Linked DNA regions of Lepisosteus oculatus. The protein of the gene in region 1 interacts with the protein of each later gene in a pairwise test. Links are inferred from orthologs where the notes say so. Each region holds a gene or a part of one and is shown in the gene's direction. Other genes may lie near its edges. The genes, in order: cep126 and hmox2b.

The links.
Region 2: the proteins of cep126 (region 1) and hmox2b interact in a two-hybrid assay, tested with the Homo sapiens proteins (2 studies listed by BioGRID and IntAct). The link is inferred for Lepisosteus oculatus from reciprocal best matches to the Homo sapiens genes CEP126 and HMOX2.

What each region holds. Positions count from the first base shown.
Region 1 is NC_090700.1:8,337,414-8,354,400, forward strand, and holds the start of cep126 (centrosomal protein of 126 kDa), read left to right. Parts: upstream 1-8,671; 5' UTR 8,672-9,022; coding exon 9,023-9,051; exon of another isoform or gene 9,052-9,055; intron 9,056-10,168; coding exon 10,169-10,288; intron 10,289-12,749; coding exon 12,750-12,895; intron 12,896-13,485; coding exon 13,486-13,597; intron 13,598-14,280; coding exon 14,281-14,479; intron 14,480-16,987. Other genes in the region: angptl5 (angiopoietin-related protein 5), read right to left, coding at 1,799-2,118, 2,506-2,691, 3,219-3,339, 4,011-4,111, 4,697-4,790, 5,450-5,553, 5,693-5,870, 7,259-7,333. UniProt on the Homo sapiens protein: Participates in cytokinesis. Necessary for microtubules and mitotic spindle organization. Involved in primary cilium formation.
Region 2 is NC_090714.1:3,703,128-3,720,194, forward strand, and holds the start of hmox2b (heme oxygenase 2), read left to right. Parts: upstream 1-9,895; 5' UTR 9,896-10,088; intron 10,089-13,042; 5' UTR 13,043-13,088; coding exon 13,089-13,186; intron 13,187-17,067. Other genes in the region: cfap70 (cilia- and flagella-associated protein 70), read left to right, coding at 50-175, 2,346-2,479, 2,998-3,113, 3,432-3,644, 4,408-4,586, 5,130-5,282, 5,697-5,858, 6,449-6,538 and 3 more.

The sequences.
Region 1 (16,987 bases):
GTATAGATGTCAAATTATTGTTGCAGAAAGCAAATAAATGTTTATTTAACATTTTACACAATGTTCTCAAATGTCAAAGTGAACCTTAACATTTTGCAAAATACTACAAAGTAATTGTTTTGGGATACAATAATCATAAGATTTAAAAATAGTCAATGTTGATTAACGATGTAGTGTTGGAAGTCATCTACCTGTTCCATTGAAATAAAATCTTATAACGAACAATCCAGCTTTCAATGAGTATTTCAGAAACTACTGTGGTGCTACGCCCCCTGCAGACTTAAAAAGAAATTGCAGCACTTTTGCCTTGCCAGTTTACTGTATATCCCTTTTCATGGATACAAAAGGTAGTGTGGAGCTGTTTTAATACCGTATACACTGGACTGTAGGTAATTTGTAATTGTTTTCTGTTTTCAAGGTAATTAAATTATGTAAAAATGTGAGCGGGTAAACATTTACTGTACTTACACTGACCTTCCCCCTTTCCAAACTTCATTTTAGAAAAAGCTTTCCAGTCACACTTTTTCTCAAGTGTTCAGATTAACTTTGTTAACTTAGCACATGGACACGACCTTTAACAGATAAACTGGACCCGTAAGCAAATTTAAAAAGAAACACGGGGGTAAATGCAACTTGAATTTTCTGGGTGCACATTATTAGTCTTAGTAACCTATTTTGCTGCTGTTTTTTTCAAATGAAAAAGCATGCTTAATTCCTCAAAGTCTTCAGCAAGAAAATTCTAACTAAAAATCTCGAATGCTCCAAGCTACATCATATCTTAGGTTCTCAAAATAAATTACAACTAAATTTCAATACAAAAATTCATATTGACGGCTACTTTAAAAGTCCCTTTCTCAGGAATACAGTATGATCAACGCCAAGAGCCACTGATGAATTCACCAGGGCATTTGGAAATTACATCAGGCTAAGAAACTATTCCATATTTTAATACTAATGACGTCGTACTTTCCATATGAACTTAAAGATTATAATTTTCATTTTAGTTTTTTTTTTTAATATGACGACTTTAATGGGGAGAGAGAGATAATAGACTTTATCGAATTAAGGGATAGCAACCCAGACTTGCAATAAGGGTATCAGATCTGACGGCCTCCTTCCCAGTAGTCCCCTTGACTTGATGATCCCCCTGTGAACTCAGAAATGAAAGGGGACCTGGAGCCAAAGAAAAGTTTAAACGCTTCCATATGCTCCCCACATTCATTCTGCCACGTCAGGCATTGTGATCAGAGGAAAGTGGTGCTTTCAACTATGACTACAACCCCTCCCTATTACAGACTGTGCATCTGGTATTAAATTTCATAGCACTCAAGAGCAAAAGAGCAAACGTGAAAGAAAACAGAACATATATTAGTCAAATATAACTGCATTAATTGATTTTTAATTTAATAAAATACGTGTTCATTTTTAGTATTTGTCATCAGCTCTCTCTAGCCCACTGTTCTAGCAGAAAGGAATCTTACTTCCTCACCTTTGGAATATCCTGCCATATGACCAAACTTCAAAGATACCGCTGTTTTAAAAGTCTGGTCTAAAAACCAGAACATCATAGACCCTGTAATTTCACCTGATGAGAAAAAAATCCCAAAATACAAAGACAGTTCCTAGTACTGCTATCATACTGTATTTTCAAACCCTGTCATAGGCTAAAACGTTTTTTTCTTTAGCTTTAACTTTGCCATTAAACAGAAACCGGCCACCTTGAGGAAGATTATTTTTATTTGTTTATTGATTTCCCTTTGGGATTGCAATCAAGTCAGCAGCTGACCGTAACTCAGAATTATTTGAAGAAGGGACTGTAGACTCTCTTAATCTTCATGGTTACAGATTTGATGTTGACTGGGACTCCATTGAGAGTCCATGTGTCCCAGTGGATATGGGGCTGCATGGCACGCTCCATATCCGGAGCACCGCCGTTGAGATTGGCCATTCCACACTGGTTAAACCACCAGCCTGTACCGTTGTTTCTGGCACTGCAGCTCTCCACGGCTTGGCCATCAAAGACGCAGAAGGGACGGCAGCTGTCGTTGTCAACATCCGACGTGCTGAACGGCATCGAGTTCTGGTTCTCCTCCTGGCGGTATCCTCGAAACGCATCTCCTGGGGGGGAAAAAAATGACAACAGTCTTGTGGATTGTATTCGGGATGAGATAACACAACTAAAGAAAAATAAAGCAACTTCTATAGTATTGTAACGCACACGGCCATCAGGGTGTGTAAGAGCCGGCTTACCAGAGCGGTGACGTCGCCGCCCTTCCCTGTGATAGCAGGACCACAGCCCCTGGGCTGTGGAGAGATCTCTCTTTGGCTCACCGGGCTGTGTCCCTGCTGAGTGACGCGGGAGTCCCGGGTCCGAGCCCCCGACGGTGGGGGGCCGACCTAATGCGGCAAGGACGCCTGCCTGAACCCCCGTTGCGATACAGTATATTCAGCAATAAAGAAAAAGAAAATGTGCAAATCGTGAGGAAAGAACAGCGTTCCCCTCACCTGCACTCCCTGCATATCGGCCCAGGTGGATCTTGAAAAACCTGGTTTCGTCTTCTATCCAGAAGTTGTCATACGAGGCGTAGGAGGAAGTGTCGTCATCGGAGACGAGGGCCACGTGCAGCTGGAAGTTTGTGTTCTTTTGGTTCACGATGTGGTAGACCTTGCGAAGGCCCAGCCAGTGCTCTCCTACACAGAGACACGGTCACCTTCTAGCTAGTTTCCTGTAACATTAGCACGTTTTTTCAATATAGCTATTTTGTCATGGATTCTTTCAGCCTGATCTGCAGGCTTCAGTTCGGAAAATGAATCTGTACATTGCTATGTTTATGTCACGAATGTCGGAAGGGCATGCCGTGGAGTGAAAAGGAGAGCAGTAGAGACCCTATGCATATCGGTAAAAGGGGCAACACAGGGGTTAGCCCAGGTTCAGGGGGTCAGACAATGCCAGAAAGAAACCAATGCCCTCAGTCCATGGACAGGAGCGACCTGCTGCTAGGTGGGTCTCAGGAGATCCGTACCCTCAGTGCTGAGCCAGGAGCAGAGCAGATACAGGAAGTAAATGCGCTACACACCTGAATAATGACAGGGAACTAAGAACTGGACAGAAGTAGTGCGCCCTCTAGGTGTAAAGAGCATGACGGTTTAAATGTAATTTATGTAATCTTATTCTACAGCATGCTATGACTACTGTCACTTTAGTTATTATGTTTTACCAGGTAGGTGGCCAAATCCATCCATATACTCTGACCATTCTCTTTTGAAGTCAATGAGGCCATCTGATCTCCTCTGAATTACAGTCCATCCACCACCCATATAATCCATTTCACAGAACACCTGCAGTTAAAAAACAGCTTTAGTTATTTTTAGTTTTCTTCCAAACACCTAATATTTAAAACCAGATGTTTGACAGGCCTGCCTAAAATTGAATGAACAGTTTTAAAGAACCATCACTGGTTATTGAGACAGAAGTATCAGGTCTGATTTTGACTTCAGTAAGAATGATACAGCCTGTTGTTCTGTACAAGGTGGGCTGCTGTGATAAGCTGAATCATTGTGAGATGGCTGAGGCTGTACAAAAGCAAATCTTATGTATCCAAATATTCTTAAGAAAACAGAAACGGGTAGAAATGCGTCCAACTACTCATTTAAGAGCTAACTTGTTAGATAATTGTTAACTTAGGGCTCTAACTTTTAAATAGAAAATAGATTAAAATAATTTATGTCACATGTAAATAACCTGGAAGTGCATTTAAAACTAAGAATGGAAGGCACTTCATTACCCAAAGGATTGAGGGATTATAGAACAAACTTCCCAGCCGTGCTATTGAAGCCGATACCCTGGCTTCTTTCAAGAAACAACTGGATGAGATAATTGGATCATTTAACTACTAACAGCTTAAATGGGCTAGATGGCTCAAATGAATTTGTAACCAATAAACCAATACATTTTTGTTGTTTTTGTCTGTTTTGTCATTTTGTGTGTTTCAACATAGTTTATTTGTTACCTCAAATGGATAGTCAAGTCCTTCTGGCTGGATTATGTAAATACCACTTGGAGTTTTGGAAATGGACTGTACTGTGTCTATAATATCACTGCAATCACGCCCTAGAAACAGTAATCAACATGAAAATATTAGCAGAATCAGACTGTAAATGACACAGAAAGATGTTTCCACCTGTGGGACAAAAAATATCAACCAATCATTTAACTTTGTTTTCCACTTTAATAACATTTAGATTTGCCTCTCATACCATATATTTATTATATTCACTATTTATTCTCTATTTAAGTTTATAATTTAATTAACAAAAACACTACACAAATTATCCCTTTAGGGATAATTTCTCATAAAAGATCGTTACAGTCATCTTCTTGAAATGTAGTATATACAGATAGATACAGTAAGTATATCATTTATACATACAGTATATACATTTATGGCTGGAGGCCCCACGTGAGTCTCTTGGGAAAGCCAGTTTACACAATAATAACATACACAGTTCCATAGCTCACAACAATTATATCAATATTCCAACACAAATACAAATACCTTCTGGTACCAGTTTAGGAGTCGTAGTTACACTCATAGTCAAGAGCTTTGGCAATGATTTGGCTTTATACATCAGTGACCAGTGTAGAAAAGACAAAAAAATAGGCTTTAACATGAGAGAGGTAAATGTATGACCTTACCATGTGATTGTACTGGCTTATGTGGAAATGGCTCAATGTTGTTCTTTAAGACTTCTGTACTGAGTGTCAGAACTTTGTTCATCAGTTCCCTTACCTGTGAAAATAAAAGCAAAGTTCAAGGTGTATATAAAACTGATTAATTTAATCTTTATTGCCCCTAAGGAAATTCCTCTCGGGCATATCAAGAACTCATAAACACTTTACATGTTTATAATGATTATACAATAACAACAACAGTACAATGCCATAATGCAAAACAACATTTAACAACATCGCTCAATCAGAACTCTTCTCCTACCATAAGATGAAAATAATAGGCAATTAACTTGTAGAGACTTGTTTTTTCCCCCCAAAAAAACAATAAATAAACATAATGAACATAAAACAAGAAGAAGATCCCTACCAGAAAACACTATTCCACAATTGAATAATGTTTTAGGTATAAAGGAATTAAATGCTCTCTTAGTCTTTAGGGAATCATGTTCCTCCTCCTCCTAGAGCTCTAAATACAAAAGGTAAGAATGCTCTGAATAAAAATGTCAACATTTTGCTTTCTGTTTAAAAATTAGTTTTCGTTTTAGAACTAGAAAAGCTCAAAAAACACTCTCATATGTCACTAGTACCTTCTGAAACGGCAAAAGTCATTACATTTCCACGAAAATAGTCCAACTGTGTTTGGATTCTTTTGAGGCTGTTATCCATTCCTAACTGCCACACATCTCATGCAAGAAAATGTACATTGCTATAGCTTGCCTGGCTTGAAAGAAACTCCAGTGATTTCTGGTGATCCTCCATCATGCCTCTAATCATTTTCCTTGTGCTCCTCGTGTAGGAAACAAGAGAATGGTGTAAGTTTCCTTAAAAAGATAGATAAAACTGCATTAATTTGTGGTATCAATTCAGGGTATACGGGTCGTGGATATAAGCCAAACCCATTCCGTGTACACTTTACTTTTAAAAACAGAAAGTCAAGTCCACAGTCCTCAGTGTACGTACTGCACATCAGGTGTTTCTCCTCCTTCATGAGCTTTGCTGACATTTCACATTGCGTAAGGCAGGTCTCATGCCTGTTTTCTCTTGATGGCTTGGAGAGTCTGGGTTTCATGTTTTCACCATGGTATTTTCCCTTCGCCGTTGTAGACTGATTTATAGCTGAACTGCTTTCACTGATTTCCTTTTAGCAGACAAAGAAAACATTTTCAATCATGCCAAACTGATCGGGATCACATAGGCTTATGTTAAGTCATCTGAACCAATGCGTTTTATAAAGTTCTATAGTTACCCGCTAATCTAAAATGTAAACAAGTGAACTCTTTTTCTTATGTTTTTGATTAGCTAAATCTTATGTACCTCCAAAAATAATGAACTGATGAAACACATTTTTCATTTTATTTCTTTTCATTTTGTTACTAAGACATTAATAAAATATCAGAAGGTAGACTATTTATTTTTTTAGCCAGTGCATAAGTGGATTTAATATTTTTTTCAGCTTTACTTAGTTCCTCATGTGAGCTGTATCTTTAAATATGTCTCTGGAAACACTGTTTTATATTTGTACTTTTTGCCTGCTGGCCAAGAATACGTTTTTGCCAGGACCCAGGCAGGAATGCATTTTCTTGTATCCCCTAGTTTGTGTTTATCTTTTTATTATAGAACTGAATATCTCATTCCTCAAATAGCAAACAAGGATAACTAATCTCTGTATGTCACCCACAACATCATACTGACATTTTTTTTTATTTTGTTTTAAAGAATATACCCCATAAACCACAAGACCTCAATACTTGAATGGGGAAAACCCATTAGCATGGCACATTGGAAGCAGAAACAATCAATTTCTTCTCAGGAGATTAGCTTCAGTATTTAGGTAGATTCTTAATGGTGACATTGCATTAGAATTTCCCAATGTGTTTTGCATATAAATGATCATAGTTAATACTGTGGCAAATTCTTCCTAATTTTAAATCTAACAGATCACAAATATCTAACAATTATAGATGCATTAGACTACAGACTGGGCTGACATACCAAGAACAACTGTTATGTTTCTCCTCTTTACTCCAGGAGAATTTGAAGTTTGTTAAGGTTGGAATTAATTATCAAATGTTGAACAGAGACATGCAAGCTGTTTCCTGTTTCTCTATGTACAAAAATCCAATGAAACTTCAAAGGTTGCTTTCTGTTAGGAGTGCATTTAATTAACGCTTAAATCATTAGAAGCAACCCTAAGTGTGAATGTGAATCTGTCCCTTCTATTCACTCATACTGTACGTCTTGAAGAATGAAAAAAAGTAAAAAGGGATTGAAAATATTTTACAGCACAGATGTCTCCTTAAACATGTACAGTGGATGCATATATGTATGTATGTAGCTCATCTATGTTACCAAACAGTTCCATGCATCTTGTGTTTTTTAAGAAATGCAAACTTTAAAACACACTTTAATACTGCACATACAACTCCGAAATTCAATTTAGAACTAAATTCAAGTGCTCTGGTTCAGTTTTTTTTTTTCCGTACAGGAAATAATAGCAATTTTAAGATATCTAACAAAAATACATACCACAGAGTTGGTCGATGTTGTCTGGATGTCATGGAGAACAGATACAAACAAAACTGGGAAGAAAAGCCTTTTCATTTTCCTTTAGGAAGACGTTTTCTAATGTGCTGGTCGGTTTACTGAGTCTCATGAGCCCTCGGTACCACAGCTTCAGGAACTCAAGACGCTCTGCTGGCATCTGCACAACAGCAAAGAGCCAAAACAAATGACTTTCTCTCAACTGCTGAAAGCGTTCAGGACAGGATATGATTTGGGACTGTGTCAAATCAATTTAAATATTGTGCACTGCTGTGTTCTTTTAGCACTGTTTAGTTTTGTATTGCACAGGCATATCACAAAGCGAAATGCTAGACAAAAATGTTGAGCACTGTTTCTTAATTCAGATTTACCAAGAAACAAACAATAACATTTCTGCAAAATGTAACTTTAACCCTTTAACAGCTTCTTTAGAAAGCAGCACAAGTTTGCTGTTATTTTCCTAAAAATAGAGTAAAAAATACAGTGTATATAAATTCCACAGTATTGAAGAAAGATTGCCTACAACTACTGGTATGTACAAGATGCTTATGGAATGTAATTCTGTGTCTGTAATGTGCATAGTATTTTGCAGTATGGTTCATCTGTTCACACTTGGAGCTCCACATAAATTCCTTGCCCTTCAGGTTTTATAGACAAAACCAGGGGGAGCACATTGTAAAGTGAGATTTTATGTACTCTGCATCTGCAAAGAATTACGTACAATATGCAACATACAGAAATATGTTTGCTAGACTAGTATGTTTATTGACTTAAGTTTTCATACAGTATTTACAAATCTGAAGTGTTAGCCTATTGGAAGACCACACACCCAACAGTGAATAACAGGTTTCACTGAGTAGTGGCAAACAGGCTCAGTGAAGCAAAAGGCATAATATTGTGCCTTGGAAGGGATTTTAGAATAATTTTGAAATCAGAAAAAGATCGTAATTATTGAAAAGACATGAAATATTAGCTGACATCAGAAATTCAGAACAGTAGCACACATTTGCCCAAATGCAAAACATAAATTGTTATTCTTTGGGAGGAGCTCTGAATTAAAATGTCAGTTAAATTATTTGATCAAGCAAGTCTATGCCTTAGTTTTTTTGTACCCTAACCCTAAAACACAAGAGTACGCTGATCATCATCAAGTGTGTAAAATCGACAAATTGTGTCCATGTTTATTGCAGTTATAATAAAGTAGTAGTAGGATAGGTAAACATAAATAATTATTTATAAGAATAAATAATTATTATAGGAATTATAATTGCGATAACAGCTATAATCTGCCGGACTTCTCCTGCCGTCCGTCGTTTCCTCCTTTTCTCGGCCCCACTCTCAACCTGCGCCTAGTTTCCGTTGTCAAGGAAGCGGCGTCTCTGGTTGTCAACATGGCGGGGCTAATTAATCTAGAGGTTCAGCAGAGCAAAACTTTTACTTAGCTGGAAAACCCAGTCAAATTGTCAACGCTGAATTCGGAAATAAGAAAAAAAATGAGAAGCAACAGAAGATCATAACGAGCGCTTGACTACAATGGCACATCGCGCCGCAGTTTCAACGTTTTCGTTCACACACAAACTGTGGGTTTATTTTGGCGTGAAGCGGAGGACAGCCGGCTAGCGCATTTCGGAATACAGGCTGGGGATAATCCGTTTCTTAAAATACGTGTACGATCGCTGAACTTGGTTTGAATGAAGATTGTGACCAGTTTGGAGAACTCTTCAACGTCGTCCCATCCTGGGATTCAGGATGCACGTCCAGAGGGCCAGCTCCTATTCGTATCCTTAAATCGATGTCTGTTTAGTTATAAGTCTATTTCTTTTGCTAGAAGCTACCTCAAGATCCTAGTTCTAGAAATGTTTTTTATGACGTTGTTGTTGTTGTTGTTGTTGTTGTTGTTGTTGTTGTTGTTAACCACCTTCAATTACTATTGGTGTAGGTACTGTATAGTCATTCATTAAAAGACCAAATATTTTCAGGCAGTGTGCTTCAAATTTGATAGACAGTCATCACAGAATATTCACTTACTGTATTACACTTTTTTTCCTCATTTTGGACTAGCTAGCTAATTTATTTGTATTTTTCCTTATGAGTATCTTCACCCGCTATTGATGCCAGTGTATATATGCGTGTGTGTATGAGTCTATGTGTATCTGTCAAAGTCATATCACTTTGCAATCTGATCTGAGTATTTTGGCCTTTGGCTGACAGAGATCATTTAGAGGTAAGAGGTATAGCAACTACAATTAAGTTACAAAACAAGGAAAAAATGTTTAGATATATATACCTGTATACAGTATTGCTGCTTTTCAAAGTGTCTTACATTTGTCTGCTCCGTTACCTCCTTTGCCATTATAGCGACCACCATACTGCACTGTAAAAAGGGAGTGGCATAATTTGTGTGACCGCTGCACTTGGCAATCATAGCACAACAAACAAGCAAGAAGAAAAGCCTTTCCCCAGCTTTGTGAATGGTTTTCAGTCACTTGATAGCATGGATGGATTCTTATCTTCAGTTTTTTCATAATTAATTTAATGTAATGACCTTACAATTTTCCTTTTTTCCCCCCCTAGTACTTAATTCAGATTGGAAACTTTCTGAAATTGCAGTAATCCAACAAATGTTTTAGAAACTAGGTATTGCAGACTATTGTTTTCCTTGTGGTAAATAAAGATGGACCACTGGTAGTGTACTATTAACACAAAAGCTTCCCTTTTCAGCTCATTAAAGGCTGGCTCTTTGTGGGTTTTTATTTTTAACTTTTATGCTAGACCCTTCTTTGACAGGCCTATATTTTAATGTGCATGTGCTTCTGGACTACTGCGCAACTGGTGAAGGCAAAATCTCCTTTTTACCCCCATGTCCTGAAATTCCTTAACGTTGTCTGACGTTAGAAATATAAAAACAGAGCTAGAACGGCCGTTGAAAGATGACCGTCAGGTTCTGGTTGAGGAACAGAAGGCATGCAGAGCTCGTGCTCGAAAATTCTCCTTGGAAACCAATCGACGTAGGAGGTATGTTTGGTACTGTATGTTGTTTTTTCTTGTATTTTAAGAGGTTAAATTCAGTTGCAGTATCCACAAAAATATATAATTTATACTCATACAGAAAAGAAATGCATCACTATGATCTACTGGATTAAATAAAATATATATCATAACAAGAACTCAAAAACTGTGCACTACATACAGAGCTGATCAATCATGAGACCATTTCACTATTAAACATACTGTCAAAATGAAGACATTACAAAGTTAGTATTGTATTTGACCTCCCTAAGCATTCAGACAATCTTGGCAGTGTTGACCTGAAAGTTGTGAATAGACTGTGCATGGGATGTTGCACCACATGCAGCCAGATGGTGAAGGTTGGCCAGTTGTGTTTTTTTCTATTGATGGTGTGGGTGAATAATTCCCACAAGTGTTCTGTGGGACTCAGATCAGGAGAAAAAGCTGGCTACTGTACACATTAACAAGTCCTTTCATGGACAGCGATGCCAACATCAGCCAGCAGTCCTCATTATTCAAACAAGACGCGGCTGTATCTTTCACCTTCTTTGCATTAATTGAAGCATTTTTGTTAATTACTTTCTGAAGGGCTATTGATACTTATTCTTAATCACTTTATTTTGGCAATTAATCCAATTCAGGTATCAAATACTGAGTACGTGGCATTTTTCCGAAGTCACATGACTGTTTTCATTGTTTTTCAGCATACAGCATGTAGAAAACTTTTTGTAAAGTTGTACTAAAAAACATCTGTTAACAGAAAAGAGGCAACTTGAACAGAAATTGACAATCACATTTAATGTGTTTGCAGGAAGCACTGGAATTGTTAGTTTTTTTATTATAGCACTAAAGATAAGCATTAATATCACATAAACATATAAGAAAAAAGTATGTTTTCGCACCAATCCCATAATGTTAAATTATGAGGCTGTACATTGCCACCAATCCAGCTGATGGTGTAGTTTTCCTATGCAGAACAGTTGTAGCAGTCAGTGAAAATGGTTTGAAGGAAAAAAGAGAGATCCTGTTATTCAATACTTCACTTGCCAGCAGGATTTCGTCTGCTGAAATTAGATTTCTTAATTGGTAACGGTAATGCAATTTATAAGAGGCAAGATTAGATTGGCTAGACTGAAGTGTTCTGCTTAAAATGAGTTCATCCCAAGGTAAAGCACAAATCTCAGACAATTAATAACCTACTAAATCTCAGCATCTTAGCAGCTCCTGGAAAGAGATTAAAATAAAAGGTTCAGTAGAAAAAAAAATGTTCTGTATGTAATGATAGTAGACTAAATACTACAAACTGATTACTTTCAGAAGACATGTATGAAGTATTTTTGTGCAGCTTCTAAGAATAGATTCAAATTGCTATCTTTGTCGTAGTTGCAGTTTAGTATTTACTTTCATTCTGTACTGAACTTGGACATCGCTTTAACCTCTTTGTCTTTGTTAGAATGCTGTCAGGTTAGAAATTTAAGTTTATTTGTAATTAGAAAAAAAACTATTATTTACATCAGCCTTGATACAGTATACTGCAAAGATCCTGTATTAATATACAGTAGGATCTCTGGTGTCATAGACACTTAACAGCTGGAGTTCATCTACTGAGTTGCATTTGTCACCAAAACAAATATGGTCTTTTATTTTTTAATCTCAATATTGTGTTGAAAGAAGCAATAGTCATAATATTTCATTACAATACAGCGATCTAAATACATTTCCATCCCAATTTATAATTTTTGTTACAAGTCTCTAACCCAGATTATTCTGTAATATCTTAATGGTACTGTACAGAATATATAGTTGAAATGTTAAAACTGATAGTCAACACAGTGACGACCATTTAAATAGTATTATGTTATTTATTTTATATCCAATTATGTATTACCAATTTGTTTGTGTTGCTGTTTTCAATAAGGCAGTTGGGATCGATACATTTTTAGTATAAGAAACTTTTATTAGTTATTTTAATCGCTTGAACAAAGCTTCTAAAGATTATCCATCCAGGCTGAATACTTTTGAACCGTATTTGATCAGCCTTTCTATCACCTGTATGTTCAAAGAACCTGTCCTGTGTCTGGCTTCTAAAACGTGGCTATGAGTAATGAGTTTGAATAATTAATGAGGATGCGGAAAAGTTTTTGCATTTTAAGAACAAGACAAGATTCAGGTATGATAAGTAATTTTGCCCCTTAGAATGTAAGATTAAATGATTATGTTTGTACTAAGGTAGACTGTACTGAAGTTTAAGATTAGTTTGAAGATCTTTCTTAAGCAAAATTAGCATTCTGTACCTCAGAATGTTAATTTATTGAATTTGCATGATTGTTTTAATTTAATTAACATAATTATTTCATGTATTCTCATTGTAAGTAGTTCAGTTTCTCCTTGGTTTCACTAATTTCTTCTTGTCCTGCTTGTTAATTGTACCTTGATGACAGTATATACCTTTTCCATTTTTCTGCAGAGCTCTGGAGGAGAAACGCAGGGAAGAGGACATCAGGGAGCAGAAACTGAGGGAGGACATACTCCAGCAGCGCAAACAGAAAGTGCAGGAGGCAACCGAGAGGTTTCAGAGAGCTCATCTCCCCCCCTCACAAAGAAATAGACAAGGTGGGAAAACATAGACCTGATCTGCAATTAAATTACTTAAATGTCCACACTGTTTGGAGCTAACCATACTGAATACAGCACTTGCTCATTTCTGATGTTATCAAAATAGAGTGTCTGTATTGCCACAGTACAGAACAGGATTTTAGCTAGGGCCGTATTGCTAGTATTGAAACCATTGTCACTTCTTCAGTATTAAGTGGTTCTCTGATTTGTGCCACTGGGACGTTCTTCTCACACTGGAGCATTTTGCCATCAATTTGTCTTTTTACCAACTGTTAGTGCCCAACTGAGAATGCTTTTCATCCTTAGCTGACAAGAGAATTGCTGTCAAGCTCTCCAGGATCTTACGCTATTATGGAAAAAAAACATTGTTTTAAACATGTTCAAATCTCTGGAGGTATTTTTCCTGCAAGTATAAATGCACTTGTAAAACTCTGGAGAGGAACAAATCCAGTTCTGGAAGATTGCAGTCCAACGAGGGATATTCTTATGTGAAATGCTCCTTGAACAGTTAAGAAATGTAAGAAAATAAAATACTTTACTTTGCACGTGAAGTTTTTTAAGGCAGAAGTTTTTTTTTCTTTTTTTAGTTTACAGAAATCCAACCCCTCGATTAGAAGAAGCTTTGAATCAAATTCAACCCTCTTTCAGTTCTTCAGCCCTCAATTCTTCACTCTACTCCAGAAGCCCTATCAGCAACAGGTATAAAAAGCTGCCACAGTTTAGTTTTTGGATAGCTAATTGTACACAAGCACTTAAAGCCCCCCCAAAATGTAAAACTTTGGACGTGCGCTGTTTATTTTTCCAAGTATATTTGTTATTTGAATACATTCCAAATTTGTAAGACTGTGGTTTTTTTTAATGGAAGCCTTATTGTAATTATGATACAGTAAAATGATAATTTCATGATAATCATAATATATTCACATCAGTAAATTGGGAATTGCAGTTATAGTTAGTGTCCACAAGATGGATTGTAAATTATTCTATTAAAAGACAAACAGGAGCCAACAGATGGCACTGTTGAATTTAGAGGTTTTCACAATTTCTTTGAGTCTTTTATTGAATTTTTCTTCCTAAAGAGTTAAGGAAGCAAAAGCTTTGCTCTTGTGAAGTTTTACCACCCACTTCAAATAAATTTTAATAGCCACTTTCACTTGTTTCATGAGGAGTAATTTGTTATACCTTATTCTTTCAAGGCAGATGAAGCTATTTAAGACAGGATGATTTTATTTTAGATGGTCAAAATCAAACAATGCTTTCACATTTCCAAAACTGCAGATATTTTTGGTATGTCCTTGAGTCACATTTATAGCTAATATTGTTTAACTATAACACGACAGGTGTGCAAAAGCAGACCTCCTAATATAACACTGTTTCTACAGGACCTACACATCCTCTCCAAGTTCTTCAGCAAGTTCCACTGCCTCTCATTACCAGAAGCAGTTGTCTGCCGCAGTAGCCTATGCCAAATTGATGCAGGAGAAGAGTGGCACTAATCTCAAGAGCAGCCAGATGCTCTTTCAGAATGAACTTCTGGAGACACAGCGCCTTCTGGAGGAGAGAAAGATGAATAGCCTGCAGGTAGGACTTCTCACACAAACATATCCTGGTCTTTCTGTCACACACTATCCCCTGTGTCAGTAATGAAATACCCGAGTTTGAGTGGAGAGCCCCTTTATTTTAAAAAACAGTGTTACCACCAAGGTTTTTAACCACTCTTTACATCAAATAATAACTTCAGACTGTGGAAAGTTTGTGTGGGTGTGTACAGCATGAATTATCACAATCACAAGATGCGGGATCCTGTGTATCTTTTTGTAGTTTTTACTCTGATGTTTATTTAAACTGACTTTTAGCCTTTGATTTAATGTCACTTAAATAAATAGCAGATTATGTACATTACACACTAGCTAATTGGCTTCTTTTCTGTAGTAAACATTTCTAAAATCTATGTTGCCCAAAGCTGACATGTTTCTTTGAGCCAGTGCTGTATTTCTTCAAGGATACATTTATGTCTTACTCAGTGAAGGGTGCCAGCTTACTGTCATTCGTAAAGAAAACAAACTAAACACCACTTCTCCCCCTGGCTGGGCCCCACTTCGTTCACTTTTGAATTTGAACTGAAGAAGGTGCTAAGCAGAACTTGTAGAAATACATTTTTGTGTGTTATGCTTTTATTTCCACCACTAGAAACATCAAAGGTGCAAGTAAACCTTATTTAACAGGTATCTTCTCAAAGAAACAACCTTATAGGTTGCTGTATTGCATGCAGAGTAATGAAAATAAAAAGTGCTGATCTTTTTGGACACTGGATGAAGAAAATGGGAAATGAGTGTTGAAACTATGCTTACTCGGTTAATGTCACCTCTTTATTACATGTCCTTGGGAACGTTGAAACAGCGCATTCTAGTAGTTAAAACAGTTCAATACTGAGAGGCACTGATTGTAAATGCCAGATCAGTTTGACATTGATACTTATTTAAGTCTCTGACAAAAGGCCTGAGCTCCAGAATTTGAATCTGTATTTGTTCTTTTCCTTATGTGAAGAAAATATGTCTAACATTCTAAACAATATTACCTTGCACTATCAGGTAATGAAACGAATAAGTGCAGGTGCCAATATAGATAAATATAGATACATTTCTTTACAAAAAGTCTTACCTTCTGGAGCCTTTTAATATGCTTTAATCACAATAGCCATTGTTTGCAGTTTTCTGGATGCATATTGCTCCTATTTCACAACAAACATCTGGTAATAGCACACTCTCAATTACACAGACTAAGCTAGTGCCTTTAACCAAGCACAGTCAGTCTCTTTTTCTTAACTTTGTGTATAGAGTTAAAAGCTTGTTAAGAAAGAATTTCATTTCAGAAAAAGTCAGTCTGTAATTTTAGCCCATAGCTCCACCTGCCAGGACCTGCTGAAGGATTAGTACTGCAAACACAGGTCCCTTTCACATGAGACGCCAGTCATGAAATGCTTTGGGGAGTTTATCTTTTGATTTGGGAGACAGATGCCTCTAAGTGATTATTCCAGTGTAACCAGTATGTTCCGAGAACTTGGATTTTGTATAATGGAGTACAGTTCTACTTTGTCGCCTATACCTGTCATGGTCCAGCACTTAATCCCCTTTAAATACTCAAGATCAGAATTATAATCTCACTGAAATGTGTCTTCCTTTTTAAAAGCAAGGTAATAGAAAAACCGGATTAAAGAGGATATCAAAGGAGTAAGTCCATCCAGAAATAAATACATTTTGTTTTAGCATAAGTGGACTTCACTAAAACACTCTGAAGTACTGTAGTTACTCAAAAAAATATAGGATCATAAATTTCAGTCACCAAGAGCCTTAAAGTAGCGGTGAGTTTGATTGGTCTTTTTGGCTTTGCAGGAGTACTGTATAAGATGCACAAGTTAAACATTAGTGTTTTCTTTGTTACGCAATTCTGAATGATAAACATCATTGAAACGCTAAGAATAAAATACATATCCCACAGCCTAATGGGCATGATGGTTTAAAAACCTGTATTTTCCTAAATGTTTTCCAAAAGAGAATGAAGAGAAATATGCAATTAAAATCACATTTGTATTTTATTTTCCTCTGTAACTGTAAGACTGGTTTACATATCTTCGTATTTTTAGAATTGTCTAAAATATTATCAATGTCTATGGACAAGCACTGTGACAATTATTGAACACATTGACAGTCTATTTTTCCCATGTGACAATCTATAAAAAACTATGTTGTTCTGAGAGTAACTTCCAAAAAGCTTAAAGTTGTGCAGGAAACATGTGTGAGAAAAGCTCCATGCATAATCATTTTCCCTTGCTACCAAATTTCAAACATTTAAAAAATATAATTTATTAGAAAAATATGGTGGAGTGTGATGCACATTTGTCGCAAAATAAGTGCAACCTGTATCTTCTGGAATTTTTTTAGTTGAATATATCCCTTTTGAAAATATCACAGAAGACCAGTTGTAAATCCCTTTAGAGGCAAATAAATATTTGATGTGGATAATCCTATAACATTCAACTTAAAGGTGTATCTTCTTAAGATTTTAAGATGCCAGAGATCAGTTTTAAAG
Region 2 (17,067 bases), on another chromosome or scaffold:
CGGTCAGTCGTAATTAAAACGATTCTTATTTCTCTCCATCTCTCTGCAGACCCTATCAGTGGATGTCCAGGAGTCTGAACCACAGCCTCTCCTAGACTGTCCTCAGCTAAAACACTTTGCCATGGAGGCACAGATAAACCAGGACTACCAGCTTGCTGCCCAGTACTACCAGGAAGTATGGACATAGGAATATATACAGTACTTCTTGCAGAATATACAGCATATTTCATCACAGAGAATTTAACCAAGACTTTTACAAACTATGACAAAGAACAATAGGGTTTCTGATCATCAAGTAGCTAGAACATTGGTTTAATGTCTCATACAAAGTTCAGCACCTTCTTCGATCACAGTACACTATGTCACCATAGGTCACCTACTGGTTCATCAGCAGCACTGATGTCCCTCTGGTGTCTCTCAACCCTGTACAGATCATGCTTAGACTTGCTTAGCTTCTGAGATCTGATCGGAAAAGACTACAAGGAGGTAATGTGTTGCTTATGCTCCGCTAAGGAGCACATCTGAAAGAAAACACAAATCTTCCGCAGTCCAGTGCAACTCCTGGATGTGCCAACCCATTACAGTATTTGAAACCATTGGAGAGTCCACCACCCAGTAGAACTGTGTTCAAACTTTATCATTTTACAACACACTGTGCATGTTATGGTCTCAGAATGAAAGTTTTCAACAGGTTATATACAAGTAAAGTTACATTTCTTATGTATATAAGAGGATGAGATGTATTTAGTAGTTTTCCAGCTTTTCTGACTAATGCTTTGATACACAGGAACACTTGTTCTTGCTGTCTGGCTTTCCTACAGTTCTCCTTTATTTAGTCGTTCATTTGCACCACTGAGTGTGATGTAACACTCTGACTGCTCTACCTTACTGAAGAGAAAGTCTTTGGGAAGGCGTTTCCCAGATTCTGGATTCTGTGGTACTTGAGTCTCGACACGCAGTTCTAGGACAGCATGCTCAAGATGTGGTGCTCTCTGTCTGACACTTTTGCTGAACCTTTGCTTGAACATTTTAAACACATCACACATTAGACAAATGCAGGGCATTAAAGAGAAGCTCACACAAAATGATAAATAATAAATTAGAGGAATAGGTACTAATTAAATATAACATGCATCTGTGACAGGCTGACACATGTTTTACACGAGCACAATGATATATAGCTGTACTTCTCTCTGTAGCACAACCTACACAAATGAACGCAACGAAGTGTGAGTGATAGGTATGTCAGTCTCCACCTAGCCCTGCAAAGCAGATTTTTTGGCTCCAGCTACATCTACTGTGAAAGGGTGTAATTCCTGGGAACCACTACTGAAAAGGAGTGGCCTGGGGCTCAATAGTACAGTCACACCAGTTACTGTATATAGCACACCTCTCAGTTTGCCTCAAAAGCATTCGGTCACAAGACACTCCCAGAATATATGTGAGGAGATACCTGTGGCATCCTCAGTGCATCTCTGACAGAGAGGTCAGTCTCATCTAGAAGTGTCCGAATAGTGTTACATAGTGTACACGTCGTGGTCAAATTGAAAAGAGATTAGTTGGTGTGGTTAATTTTTAAGGAGAAAGTATTGTCTCAGACTACATCCCAGAAGAGATAACCGACCTGTTTGTCTTGGTCTGACTCCAAAGTAAATTGGACTGGGAGGAGACTGATTTTAGCTGGAAACTAAAAGCCATTTTTTGGATTTTTGATTCGGCTAGCAGGTTTCATTAAGACTTTGCCTATGACTTGCTAAGGAACTATTTCTGAAAAGAACAGCATACTGTATGTTACAAAATGTTCTTCATGAAAAGGAATGAGATGACGCCGGTAACAGTCTGACTATGAATTCTTCCAAATTTGAACATGTCATTCCGATGCAAAGAAAATTAAGTTCCAAATTACTTGCAGTCAAACCCGGAAATGCATTTGCAGGAGGAAGTTTTGTTCAGCCTAGCAAGTTACCAGGGACCGTGGAGGAGAAAGAGCATAAGGGAATTATTCATGATGACACCTCACAGTTCATAGAAGTGAAAAACGAAGAATGCAGGGATATTATGAACTACTGTGGAGGATGTTTAGCATATTTTACCATAGAACATATCAGTCAAACTTCTACAGCCTACAACACATTACAAAAATGCAAATATGAAATGTACTTAGGAGAAGGTTTCCTCCCACCTCCAAAGACATGCTGACGTTTTGATTGACTATTTAGAATACTCGCTTTCCCCACTGCCCTGGGACAGGCTGTCAGGGTGAAAACAGGGTGGTAAGAATCCCTGTGCTTCCAGAGGCTTCTTTGCTCCTGAAAGCTCCGATCAGTTGTGTTTTTATTTTGTAGAGGCTGGCCCGGGACCGCAGTAACCCTGCTCACTGGTTTGACTATGGAGCGTTCTTAATGCTCACCTCAGACTATTCCAAGGCAGAAGAGTGCTTCCACCAGGCAGTGGCCTTAGATCAGAGACACCTGCCAAGGTGAGTGCCGAATGCTCACCAGCCCTTATTGTTCTGCTCTCAGTGCATTGCTCTTCTTGTGTCTCTGGTGTGAATTTTAATTTCCAATTTCCATTCTGCATTCGCAAAATCTGCAAAAGAAATCCAATATTTTCAATTGGTTTATTAACTTTGCATAACTTTAGTAATTGATTTGTGAATGGTTTGCATCCAGTGAAGCAATGCAGAAGATGTTGCCATAACTTTTGAACTCAGAAAGACTGAGCCAGCTGCTTGCTTATCCTTTTTGGGTAGGATGCTATGGCCATTTAAGGGCATGTTTTCCTACACAGCCCAAAATGGGTAATGCTTCACGCTTATTGTATCTACTTACACAAGACTGATAACTCATGTCCAAGTAAGACATTAGAATTACTCTGAAATCTTTCACTCATGAGAAAAAAATTGCACTGCTGATGGTGCAATCTTAAGGTACTTCAGCGAACTCACATGCTTCGATCTTTTTGAGAGTTCATACTGGCTGCTTGCTCTGTGTGTAGCCTCCTGCTGTGTGGGATCCTGGCAGAGATGGGAGGGAGGCATGAAGACACAGAGACCTTCTTTGAAGACGCCACCTGTGTGGACCCCTCCAGTGTGATCGCCTGGACTCTGTTTGGTAAATTGGGTTCCTTCATGGGCAGTCATTTTCGGTGTCTCTGTTATAGGTTATGCTTCACTTTTTTGAATCTCCTTGGCTTCCTGGGGTGAAAAAAGAGAAAATAAAACGTGCATACAAAGATACTGAAATTCTGTTTTGCTGAAATGGTATGTTTAATGTGGGGGCTAACTAAACATTAAGCTCTAGCACTGTAATGTCCTTTATCCCTCTTGGTTGATTTCTAGACACAGGCTGTGCGATTGGTAAGATCTAAATCGAGAAGCAGGGCCATATCAGCTTAAAAAGTACAGCCATTTTACCTTTGGGTTGTTTCAGGGCTGTTCTACGAAGGGCAAGAAAATGCAATACAGGCAGAGATGGCCTTTCTGGAAGCCAATAAACAGCTGAAGGCAGCGTCGCAGGTGACTGTGATCTGTGCACCCCAGGCTGAAGATGAACAGGGCACTGAGCGGTCAGAGGGGGCTCCTGCACAGGAGGCCCAGGAACCTGCAGAGATTGAATCGGACATCCAGAGACAGGAGGAAAGAGGTGAGAAGACAGCACCCAAACTGACCACATGTATATATACAGTATATACATGTGCAGTGTATGTACGTATACAGTATATGTACATGTATATGTAAATGTAAGATGTTGTCAAGATGCTACACTGCACTATAAAGCTTTGTTCACAAGGTTTATAAGAGAAAATTATTTTTTGCTCAAATTAATTGGAATTTATTTGAACTGGAATATCACAATTGTATAGACAGCTTTGTCCTTTATTTAAACTTTGTACTTTAAAGTCAGACGAAGTAGAAGATGGAAAAAATAAAGCCATGGGCTGAAAGAGATCTTGAATGCTAGATAGCACCAGATCAATAGAAAATGGTGAATATGTTCTCTAATGCATTTATAGTGGTTAGATATTTACAAATGTTATTAATTTGCCTCAGTAACATTAATTAGCCTAAATTTTCCATTTTATGTGACCATTGAAGTGATTAATACAAAAACAACAGTATGCATTTTAATTAGTTTAACTGCAAAAAAAATACAATACATAACAATTTCGGTAAGTAGTATGTGAAACAGTGAATATCATATATCCACAAGCCAAAAACATCAGTAATGAAACTGTCTTCCTTTTTAGTAATCCTGAAAAGAACAATCTTCCTTCTACTCTTTCAGGCAACAGATGGTAATCGTGTGGCTAGATCTGTTCCTGAGAACAGAGCTCCTGTGATCTGAAATGTGATCTGCGTGAAGTAGGCACGCTCTGGGTCAGTATGTACCTTTGCTTGTCCTGCAGGTGCCGAGGCAGAAACGGAGAGCGTGGCTGCTGTCTCTGAGCACAGTCAGGGGGATGGAGCTGCAGTGCCAGAGCCTGACCTGCCTGTGTCCAAGCCCCCAGAAAGCAGTAGCCTCAGACCTACCACCACTATCTTCATGGAGACTGTACACTTCCTCCTGCAGACCAACGCCCTTCAGGTTAGGACATCTTCCAGATTCACATGACCATTGTCTCAGTGCAGTCATCCTTGATGCATTATGCTCTTTCTAAAGATCCTCTGATGTCTGATCACCATGTGTAATTCTATATATTAGTAATTTCATCATATTGCAGCTAGGGTGTTGTATGGGCTGTTGTGTGCTGTAAAGATGCTACTATAACATATACTCTTTGTTTCACTGGATGTTGCAAAGAATATTTACAGGGAGGATGATTTACATTTGTTTGCATTGATCAACACTACCCATGGATGCAGAAAAATGCGCAAGCAAAGTCTGATCTGTAGACTAATGATGCAATGGAGACCAAAGCAATGATCTTTGAAACTATAGTTCCCATAAGATACTTGCATAAGTATTGAGTTCTTGTTGAGTGAGACTTAATAAAACGAAAATGAATCATGAAAAAAGCACATTTCAGAATTTCACACAAGCAATGAGATTGAAAAGATTGAAAGACCAAGTATGTTCAATGGGTGGTGGCTGGACCTTAGTTTTCCGCCCTGTCTGGCTGTGTTGTAGATGGCTCAACGCGCGCTGGCTCAGGAGCTGCTGTGTCCGGACGGAGGGCCCAGCAGTTCCTATCATGTCGCCCTGGCCAGACTTCACCTCCAGAGAGGGGAGTTTGATGACGCTGATAAGAATCTACAGGAGGCACTACAGGACAGCTTTGAGGTAACAGCACAGCTACAGCCTTTACCACACTTTGTTTTAATGGTTTGACATCTACTGACTGTGCTACTCTGTTACAGTCTTGTGATAACCTTCAGTTTAGTTCTTGGACCAAGTCAGTTCATTCTGAAATACAGTAATATCTCTAGTATTCTATTATCTACAGCATCATTTTCTTGACATTTTTAGAGTCTAGAACTAGAAACCTGAAAACTAGAAAAAGCACCGTCCTTTGGATGAAACATAACACCGAGGTCCTGCCTCTCTGTGGTTGACTTGTGTGGCAGAGCACTTTGAGTAGAGATGAGCAGTGGGCAGTCAAATCTGGGAACGAAACCCCTGTTGGTTTTCAGAAACGCCAAGAAGCTGGAGAAAGCCGTCAGAAATGCACAGCTTTGTGAAACTTTGCCTTTGCAGAACCCAGATGTGTGGGCTCTTTCCGGACACCTTCATTACCTGACGGGGAAGTTCAGCAAGGCTCGGCAATGTTATGAGAGAACCCTGGACTTTGTGACAGACGCCACTGATATTCATCCCATCTACCTCAGGCTTGGCACCATCTACCTGCAGGAAAAGCAGGTCGGTCTTTAAGTACTGCAGGATCCTGTTGCACTGTAGGTGCTGTCGGCTTTCATTCCTCAACGACTCAGAAGTGAAAAGCAACACTCATTGTGTTTTTTCCAATGAAATGTATTGTGCGGTTAAATTTGTTATTCTCAGTTAAATTGGATAGATTTAGTGAATACAATCAAAAACATTTCCTCCATTGTATTTTCTCTTCAGATAGTTGAACAAAAGAACTATCCACAGAAAGCACAGCTTTATAGTTATTCCGTATTGTTGAAGCCGATGGCATGGCATCTAACAAGAAATGGCTGAATAACATCCTTGGATCTGTTAACTACTAGATACTAAAAGGGCTAGATCAGTGAGAAGGCCTGATCTCTTTTTTAACTCTTCTTAAATCACCTTCAAACATTGACCTTTATTATGAGTGATATTATAATGGAAGCATGATTGGAACATGCCTTACCGTTTTCTGTTTTTATACTTTGTTCTGTTGTCTTTCTTATGTCAACACTTTATAACATCGATAGAGTGTCTTGGATGAGAAGGTTGATTCGATAGAGCTCTCCACTGATCGTTTCGTGTGTCTCGCCCCCTCCCAGTTTGAGCAGGCCAAGCGCATCTACCTGAGGGCCTGCAGAGACTCCCCCTCCTGCCTGACCTGGCTGGGGCTTGGTATCGCCTGCTACAGGGTAACTACACCACAGAAAAATGAGCACCCCTATTATAGGGCACCATAGATACGTTTGCTTGCAATAAATTGGCCTGACCTTGCGTTCTGCTGGTTGCATTAACGTACTGCTATGGAGTGGATTATAAGGACCGCGTGTTTCGTACAAGTTTTTGGTCTTGTGAGATTTGTGAGAAGTTTTGTGCCTTGAAAGAATTTCTCCAACATGTTTTTTTATTCCTTTTGGTGTTGCGCAAGAAATCCAGATGACTGCAGTACATTAGCGTATAGTGCTCACTGAGCTTCAGAACATTCCCTCCTTGCAGTTGGAGCTAAATATGCTGAAATAGTTCAATTGCATAGTGCATCATGTCAAAATGGAAAATGAGACTTGAAGGTCATGCATAAAACATATTAAAGTATGTGCATTCTGAACTCAGCCCTAGGCTTCTCAGCCTTATGGCATGTTCCGAGGGATGTCTGGAGAGGATTGTTCATTGGTTGCTCAAAAACACAGGTCTAGTGTCAAGCAAAAGTGATCAAAGTAATATCAAGACATGATACGTTGTAAGATTCCACTTGTGCGACTGCCATTCTCACAACTAACTATATGTGGTTTCAGCTGGAGGAGCTGACGGAGGCAGAAGATGCTCTTACAGAAGCCAACACCCTGCATAATGCCAACCCTGAAGTGTGGGGCTACCTGTCCCTTGTCTGTCTGAAGGTGAGTTTGCTGTGGACATGTATGAGCCCAAGATCTTTCCCTCCATTTTCTAACTGCTTCTTACCAAGGTCCTCCAGGGAAGAGGGGGAGCCAGAGCCTGTCTTGGCAAGTGGGCACAAAGTAGGGTACGCCCTGGACATTACACCCGTCCGTCGCAGGGCGCACATACAGGACAGTAGATACACACACTCACACCAGGTCCAGTCTTCCCAGACAACAGTCAACCTACCAGTATGTCCATGGGCTGTGGGAGAAACCCACAGAAACCTGGGGAGAACATACAGACTCCACACAGACAGCACCCTGGGTCCGGAATTGAACCCAGTCAGATAAATGTTCCCTTGCAAAATCCTAAGCACAGAATTGCCTATGTGGATTAATAAATTGTATATTCCACCCTATGTCCCTTACAAATGTAGGATTGTGAGATTCTGAGCTACGAAGAATTGTACCACACATAAAACTGTTTTAGAGAATACTTAGTGCTCTATCAGTCAGTTTTACAGGTGTTTTATTAGTTTAATATTTTAAACTCAGTCACTCTCAATTATACAATCAATGATACCCATGTATAGTCCTGAATCACTCACAAGGAAGTGTTTGATGTAGTACATTTTTGTTTTTAACGGATAATCATAAATAAATACAAACAATAATTTGAATCAGCAATCTTTACCACTGTGCCACCATGCTGCTCATGTCTTATAATTATATTTTTAATATGATGTTGCACATGGGGAAATCCACATTAATGTAATGTACACAACACATCATGCTTCTATTTTAAAAGGATCATAAAAAGACTAAGAATTTAGCCGTGAAAATGTTTACGTTTTTGATTTTAAGTTTCTGAAAACTGAGTAAACAGTTTTTTCTGAACACCGAGTAAAAAACATTATCAGAAGGCTTTTTATCATTTTTAAGTCACTGGTGTTAAACATTGGCAAGATGTTTAAACTTGTTAAGCTTGTTGCCAGGTGAGTAAATAAGTGGCCAGTCAGTTACCTTACTCTTGCCAACAAGAATACGTTGACTATTTGATAATCCTTCAAAACAGAGGCGATGTTGTGCTTTACGATCAGTAGCAGCCCAAATGTGATAATTTGCACAAAATAAAGGCTTTGTTCTTTATGATGTACAGCATTGCTGTGTACATGAAAGGCCATCCAGAGGCTGAACTGTTTTATTTGTTTCAAACTCTGCTTGTCTGAGTCTGCCTCTAAATATAAGCGATGATACAGAATAATAAGGGGAAAGAGTGTGGCTCCTCCACATAAATTGGGTTCCCTTCTATATGGATAAAGTGTTTTGGGGTCATTTTGGGTGAAAAGTGCTACATAACGCTCTAAAAATGATTAACACAAATAGGTCATTTAAAATACAAACACTTCAGATGCAAGTTTCAGCATTTTAACTGTCGGTTGAAAAAAAACTGATTGATGTGTACTAAATACCAGATTTTTTTTTGCGTTTTGCAGACTGGCAGACATCTGGAAGCAGAGCAGTCCTACAAATACACCATAAAGGTCAGATTTGAACAGGGGCTAAACAGTTGTGAGAGACTTGGCCCTTTAGCAAGCGGCTCAAGTGATCTGAACACATGACAAGCTCACATGCATGAGGTATTAGTGCAGCGACTATGTATTTCTTTCCAACAAGGAGGCTCTGTAGCAGCTTCTCAAACTGCAACAACAATCCAACTACCAACTAACACTATGAGGCTGTTTATATCTCCATAATATTAGCTTTTTGTGATAAGGCTTCGCAGCTATTTAGGGTGTTTCCTGCATTTCCTTTTCTCAAATAGTCTTGCATTCTTACACATGAGAAAACGTCCATGGCTCTGCGCCACAGTGACCAAAGTCTGATGCCACGCTTTCACTCTGCTCCACAGCTGAACCTGCGGAACGGAGCTCTTCTGCAGGAGATCCATGAGCTACAGGAGCGTGTTGGCTTTGGAAACCCCTCCTTCTGAACATGCTGAAGCAGATCAGGAAGATATTTACAGCAACTGTCTGGGATTATGTTCTGTGTTGTTAATACAGTGGTTAGTGAACAACTCCAGTCTTGGAGAACTCCAGTGCAGAAAGAGATCATCCAGGCGTCCTGTTACTGAGTTTTACATCTATGCATGGTCATAAACGACGATAAATGCAGTCTTTTTAAAATAAATATTATTTACAAGGTCTTTATTGTCTTCTTGTGACTTCTTCCCCCTCCAGCATATTCTATGCAGATAACAAAATGTATTCAGTCATCTTTTCTGACCTGGAACTGAAAGCATAACAAAAAAACATTTTAGAGTTTAGCAAGAGGCAAAGAACCACTGAACATCTTGGCTTCAGAACTGAACGAATTAAATAAAAACGTATTTAAAAGCATTACAAAACTTTTTTAAAAAATATTTACAGTAACAAAATGAAAACGGATACTATAACTCAAACTGAAAAAAAATATACGTGCAAAACAGAACGGCCACAGCACCACTCTATCACTTTCTTTGGCGACAAAGAAAAGTACCCCCACCAAAGAGAGAGAGAAAGAGATTTCTGCGATTGAGCAAATATTGACTGCGGAGGCTGAGAATATCCCATGGGCGGCGCTTGGAAAAGGAATCGCTTGATTGGCCAGCCAGCAGCTCGTGGTGCGGGGGCAGCGAGGTCATTTCCTGTTTGCGATGCGGGTCTGATAGAAGAAGGTCAGTTGGTGGGGGATGCTGGAAGTGTTTTTACGAGTTAATTGAAGACGTTGGAGGGCTGCTGAAGTCGCCGCACCAGAACGTACACACAGGGGTTTATAGTCCCTCGACGTGTACGCATACGCGTTCGTGGTGGGAAAGTAGAGGCAGGTGAGGTTTGCGGGTTGTAGTAACCGCAGTGCTTTCGCGTGTAACGAATGTCCGTTTCTTTACAGTTCGGGACCAGAGGAGGTTGCGCGTGGGTTACCACTCTCGAAGCTAAGTTACACCTTGAGAGAGGTCGGAATTAGTGTTGTCTTTAAATTCAGGTGTGTCCAGACCTGCCGCACATGACTGCCCTCCCCTCATAGCAAACGTGTGTTCTCGAAGTTTTCCCCGCATGTCCACCGGTTTTGTTGGCGTCGCTGTCGCCTGCGTGCGCTGGGAAAGTGTTGCGACCTGTACATCTGGGGAGCGTGTGAGTCTGCCGCAGCTGGCGAAGAAAGCCTGCTGTGTCCGGTGCTGCTTTGTTGTTGCAGTGCCCGAGTTAAGTTTCCCTTTCCTTGACAGTAATGGCGACCTGGTCATTTTGAAGCTGTTGTTAATCAGCTTTAGGTTCTAGCCCTGAGGGGTGGATGTAGCGATCTGAAGTCGCACTTTTTTTTTTTAAGCACGCTTGTTTCATGCCATGTTCAGTGTTTCATTGCTTATATGATCTCATTTTGAATGGGGGGGAAAAACAGCACTGAATTGTAGACGGGGCTTTCAGTGTAGCTCTGTAGAGTTAGGCTTTAATCTTGGTTTTAATTGGATTCTTCTGGGTTAAAGAGGCTGGATCCTTCTTTTATCTATACAGATATATGTATATATCTATACAGCCCTTCCCGAGAGACGCCTTTGCAGACTGACCTGTTGTTTACCAGGCAATAGCGTCTATAGGTTACTTTTACAGATGAAGTCGTCTCTGGGGGCACAGCACATGACTAGGATATTGATGAAGGGGTTTGTTGAGTAGTATAAACCTGATCATCGCCATGTGAAGATTTTATACAACGGGTGAAAGCCCCTGCCTTCATCACCTGTTTGAGAAACGGAGGTAGATTCATAGCGCACCAAAATCCCCCAAAGATACATTTTCCTTTTTTGGAGTTGTTGTGGTAATAAAGTGTTGTTGACAAAAACATCCTAAATTATGACTAGAGTTTATCCCAATATTTATTTTTGCTTGTTTATGCAAAATAGTCAAGTTAACACATTAAGGTTGTATTTTATTTGTTGTGGTTGGCAAGTGAGGGATCTTGACAGAGGAGAATGATGGTTTTGCTGTGCCCATGGACAGCTCTAAGGACACTTACTGTAATTGTTGTCATGAAACTTGGGAGCATGTTATTGCTGTTTACACTCTCTAACCTGTCTTTAGCCAGTGCACAATGGGGAGCTGAGCGCAAACAGCCTGAACTTTCCAGCCCCTGGTCCACGGTGCGGCTGTCTTTGTACCGTGTTATACTGCAGGAGTAGGGGGGTGGTTGGGTGGGCTCTGCTTTGTCTCTGCTTTGTCTCGGCAGGGTGGGGGGGGACCCCTGTCCTGTTGTCAAAAGAGTGACGTGCGCTGTCCCTGATCCGCCCCGCTGACTCAGCTAGCCCCCCAGTGTGAGGGGAGACACCCCAGGGGTGCCTGCTTGCCGGGATGGGCTCTGGCTCCCCTCTGACCCTGTACTGGATGAAGCTTTTAGACGATGGATGGATGTTGGCTCTAGTGTAACATTAGTGCCTTTTCTACAGGTCTTATTAAGACAAAATGAAGTTAATAATTGCTTACACGTATAAAGCACTTTTCTGGACACTCCACTCAAAGCGCTTTACAGGTAATGGGGATCCCCTCCACCACCACCAGTGTGCAGCCCCACCTGGATGATGTGACAGCAGCCACAGTGCTCCAGTACACTCGCCACAGAGCAGCTACCAGTGGGGAGGAGAAGAGATTGATGAATTTTTTCCATTGAAAGATCCTGAATTGAAAAGCAGGCTGTGGAATATGATTTACTTAGAGCACAAGTGGTAACTTTACTGTGACCATGTTACTACTACTGGAGTAGAGAGAGAAAAAATTCCCATGCCAAACAGTAGCACTAAAACGAAACTGTACCACTAAATTGGAAACCTGAATGATTCTTCATTCCAGAGAAATTGAGGTATTATTTTAAAAAATGTTCCCCCCCCTCTCGAACGCAGAATAACTGGTTCATCTAGTCTCAAACCGATTACAGTCATCTCCTTTGGATCTATCGTCTTGTTCATTTCAAGAAAGAAGGAAGCAGGTTTTATTTCTTTTTTAATGCCACATAATTCTCTTTCTTAGATATAGCTCTAATATTCACAATTTCCTTACGTGTCTAATGACGTTCAGTTACAATTTCCATGTACTCTATACTGCATATCTGTATACATATATCTGTATAAATTATGCTATTGTTTTTTTTTCGATTGGTTGTACATATTTGGTATTCTTAAGATTTCTTTTAAAACCATTAGGATAAAATTATTTGTGTAAACTTCCATGCAAGGCAATATAATAAACGAAGGATCTTTCCTGGAGGTAAAGTGTGTGATTTGTCATTGTCCATTCTTTCTATTCTATTTGACAGTAACTTTTTTATAAAATAAGGAAGCTGCACAGCTGGTTTCCATATGTTTTTAGCGTGGGAGCTATGTAACCCAGCGGAATGTGACCCTCAGTGTTAAAGTGGATTCTGGAGAAAAGCTCTGCTTCCTTGGAATAACTAGACAAGGTGTTTTTTATTCTGTTTTGTGCGGGTAGCCTGTTGGCTACCTGACTCTGATTGTGCAGAGCGTTATTGTAGTTTGAGTTTTGATAACTGTACTGTATAGGGTTATTATAGGAGAGTTTTCGAATTTGCTATTAGTAATGTACAAGAGGAACATTTAGTCCCGTTTTTTAAAATTCCAGCCCCACTATGCTTTTCTCCATCTATATTTTGTTTCTTCTGCGGTGACCTTGGTAAGGAAAGTGTGGATTAAGAGGTATGTATACAGTAGCTGATTGACATGCAGCGTTCCCCTCCATTGACACACTCTGCCTGACCTGCTGCTTGTTCTTTCTCCAGCAGAGCCCTGTGAAGAGACACACGACGCCTGCCACAACACAGAACAATGCCCACAGAGAAAGCAGAGGGCCCCGGGCAGATGGAGGACCTTCCCAATGGGTCGAGTGTGGCATATGAAGACCACGAGGAAGAAGAGAATGTCAGGTAAGGGGAACCGGCCTACAGCGTTCACACGCTAGTGCAGAAATATCCCACCATCAAAGAAGACTTCTCTTTAAATGTTTTTGCTGGATAGCTTGGGAGACATGTTTGAAATACTTTAGCACTGGTTGGTTTCGTATGTGATCTCTTCTTTCAAACTGGTATTTTTGGCCTGATTGGCAATTATTATTTTCCCCATGCATTTTAAATTAATTGGGAGTAAACTTCCAGGTCCTCAGATATGCTCCTCAGTTAATTCAATGTGCTGCAAACTCCACAATGCCCTAAAGGAGAGTTTGTGCCAATTGGAGGAGTGGCACATCTTTAGTAGATTATTGTACCTGGAGAGAAACTTACTCAGCTGAGAAGGGGAACTTGTTTAATACATGTGGCATTATAGAAGGTTTGTAAACTAGACAATGTTTTATGTGCTTAAAGACACATTTGTTCATTTTGCTAAAATGTCACTCTGCATTTCACTTAGGAAATGGATGCATGACCTAGGAAACATTTAACTAGTTAAGTGAACTTTATAATGGAAGGAGGACAAGATTTTTAAAGATTAGGAATTTTTTTAATTTAATGAGAAGTTAATACAATAATACAATAGACACTTTTTAGTTAGAGGATGGTCAGTGCTTAGCTCTCTTCAGGGGTGGCAGGCTTGAGGAATTTCGGGCAGGGAGGGGCTCCTGACTGATGTCCACCTCAATCTGGGGTGCGTATCTCTTGTGCCCCCCCGTGGTAACACTAATGAACTGCACTCGTCCATCGGGGTGCACTATCTCCTGTAAGCGGGGGCAGTGCAGGGCCTCCCACAGCCTCTGCTTGATGCGCCGGCCCAGCTCCAGGCTATATGGCTTGGGCCGCCCCTTGGAGTTCATCCTCATGGGCTCCACCACGGAGTGGTACACCTGGCGGTACTCCTCCACACTCAGCCCATGGATGAGCAGCGGCTCATCGCTCCTACAGGTGGTATGACTGGGGGAGCCGTGGCCGGCAGCCGAATCGGGAACGGGGGCGTTTCTCTTTGTCTCAAGAGTTTCTTTCGGCCCCGCTGTTACGTGCGGGTGTGTTGGCTTCGTCTGCAGCACTGCTTCCTTCAGTAGTCTGTTCTCCATCTGCGGACAGACAAAAGGGTTGAATTGAAAAGACATGCCACCCAAATCGCAGAACAACGCAGTGGCACAGTTAAAACCTTCAAGTAAATTCTCCAGAGTATTCAAGAATAAACCAAAGATTAGATGAGTAAGGTCAAGCAGCTGTGACAAACTATTAATATTTAAATAAAACCCTTGGACAGTAGTAACTTCTAAGGTATGTGATCCACTACAGTTTGCCTTTCCTGCTGGACTCTACCTCTGCCTGGACGATGGAGCCACATGAGTTGTAGGCAGTTGTCCAGTGAGTGCGGGAGATGGAGTCTCCAGCCTGATCCCGGGCTGCAGTGCGAAGGCAGTACCATGGGATTGCTGGCTGGCTCCTACACTCTCCATTTGTTCCAAAAGAGGTTCCACACTGGATGGGCACCCCTCTGTGCTGGAACATATCTGGGTCTTGAGGAGGGTCCAGGATCTTAGAAGAGGACCTGGAGGGACTGGCTGCAGATGGAGGAGGAGCACCAGTAGACTTTATCATCTTCAGTCTCATTTTGATGGCAGTGGGATTCTTGGGGTCACTGGGACACATGATTGATTCCCAGAGGACTTTATTGCCACCATTGGCTTTCTTTGAGTTGAAGACCTGGCTTTGGTGACGGCTCTCCACACAATAATCGCGCAGGCGGGTGTTTGGTAAAATGGTCCTGCGCAGGCTGTAGTATCCTGCAGCACTGCGCTGTTCTGATTTCTGAAAGTTAAAAAAAAAACATTAGGCACAGAGCAAAAATTCTGTTCATGTCGTGTAATACTTAAAGTATTTAATCTCTTATATACATATTTTGTCTATGGATGATATTGAAATCTACATAAGTACTTTAGGTGAAGGTAGATTGCACTGGAATGAAAATTATGAGTAGTGTTTAACTTACTTAAAATAATCTTACAAATGATTAGAAATTAAATTTACCACAAATGAGCTACATTTATAGGAGTACAATGAGATATGCTTACAATCTCCATTAGATCCAAAGATTTCCTTCCTTTTAGAAGTATGTTTCAGGAGAAAAATGTAAAAGCTGTTATCGATTGCTCTTTCGATTAGAAATGTTTTTTTATATTTGGAATAGTTGCTTACCTACAAACCAACATTCTATATCAATTATGATGTAGCATGTGACCTCATCTCAAAATTCTATGAGCTGTTTTAAATATAAACACCTGTTCAAGAGGCTTGGAATGGGTTATATGTTTATCCTGTTTTGTTAAAAACCATTTGAGATGGACCCATAGTCTTGTGTGGAGGGCCTTATAAAGCTAGGATCTCAGTTCTGAGTGCCAAGTCCTCTGGGAAGGAATCATGACTTAGGCTCCCCAGGAATCCGCAAAATGATTGTTTGAAAAGTTGCTTAGTAAATTGCTTAAATTTACCACAAATGAGCTACATTTATAGGAGTACAATAAGGTTTGCTTACAATCTCCATGAGATCCAGAGTTTTCCTTCCTTTTAGAAGTATGTTTCAGGAGAAAAATGTAAAAGCTGTTATCGATTGCTCTTTCGATTAGAAATGTTTTTTTATATTTGGAATAGTTGCTTACCTACAAACCAACATTCTATATCAATTATGATGTAGCATGTGACCTCATCTCAAAATTCTATGCGCTGTTTTAAATATAAACACCTGTTCAAGAGGCTTGGAATGGGTTATATGTTTATCCTGTTTTGTTAAAAACCATTTGAGATGGACCCATAGTCTTGTGTGGAGGGCCTTATAAAGCTAGGATCTCAGTTCTGAGTGCCAAGTCCTCTGGGAAGGAATCATGAATTAGGCTCCCCAGGAATCCGCAAAATGATTGTTTGAAAAGTTGCTTAGTAAATTGCTTAAATTTACCACAAATGAGCTACATTTATAGGAGTACAATAAGGTTTGCTTACAATCTCCATGAGATCCAGAGTTTTCCTTCCTTTTAGAAGTATGTTTCAGGAGAAAAATGTAAAAGCTGTTATCGATTGCTCTTTCGATTAGAAATGTTTTTTGATGTTTGGAATAGTTGCTTACCTACAAACCAACATTCTATATCAATAATGATGTAGCATGTGACCTCATCTCAAAATTCTATGAGCCGTTTTAAATATAAACACCTGTTCAAGAGGCTTGGAATGGGTTATATGTTTATCCTGTTTTGTTAAAAACCATTTGAGATTGACCCATAGTCTTGTGTGGAGGGCCTTCAATAAAGCCAGGGTCTCAGTTCTGAGTGCCAAGTCCTCTGGGAAGGAATCATGAATTAGGCTCCCCAGGAATTCGCAAAATGATTGTGGAAAAAGTTGCTTAGTAACATTTTGCAATTCCTTGATAGTTTAGGGATATTATTTATTAAATTCATAGATCAAGTCAAGCCCTTGGTATATTTCTACTTAAGTGACGTTGAATACGCTTGAAGAAGTCATGTGGAGTTCTTTCAGTCATGGTATTGTTTCGAGATCTGGGTGGCATGTCCTTCTCTGAACCCGAGTCCTTGTGTTGGTGGAGAATCACCAGCTAGAGAAAGCGAAACTGGAACGAGATCCCTGAAAAAAGGAGGTTCTAGAAGTTATGTAAATAATCACAGACTGGATTTACGGGCAGGGCTCCTTCAGTGCAGTCCCCAGATGTGAAACCCCTGGATCGTCTTGGCAACTGCATTTTAATCACTTGGCGTATGATTCGTTTTCTGCACACTGTGGGGATTGCATGTTTTAAGAGGGGCAGCAGTGAAGAAACGGGTCTCTCTTTGGCATCGCCT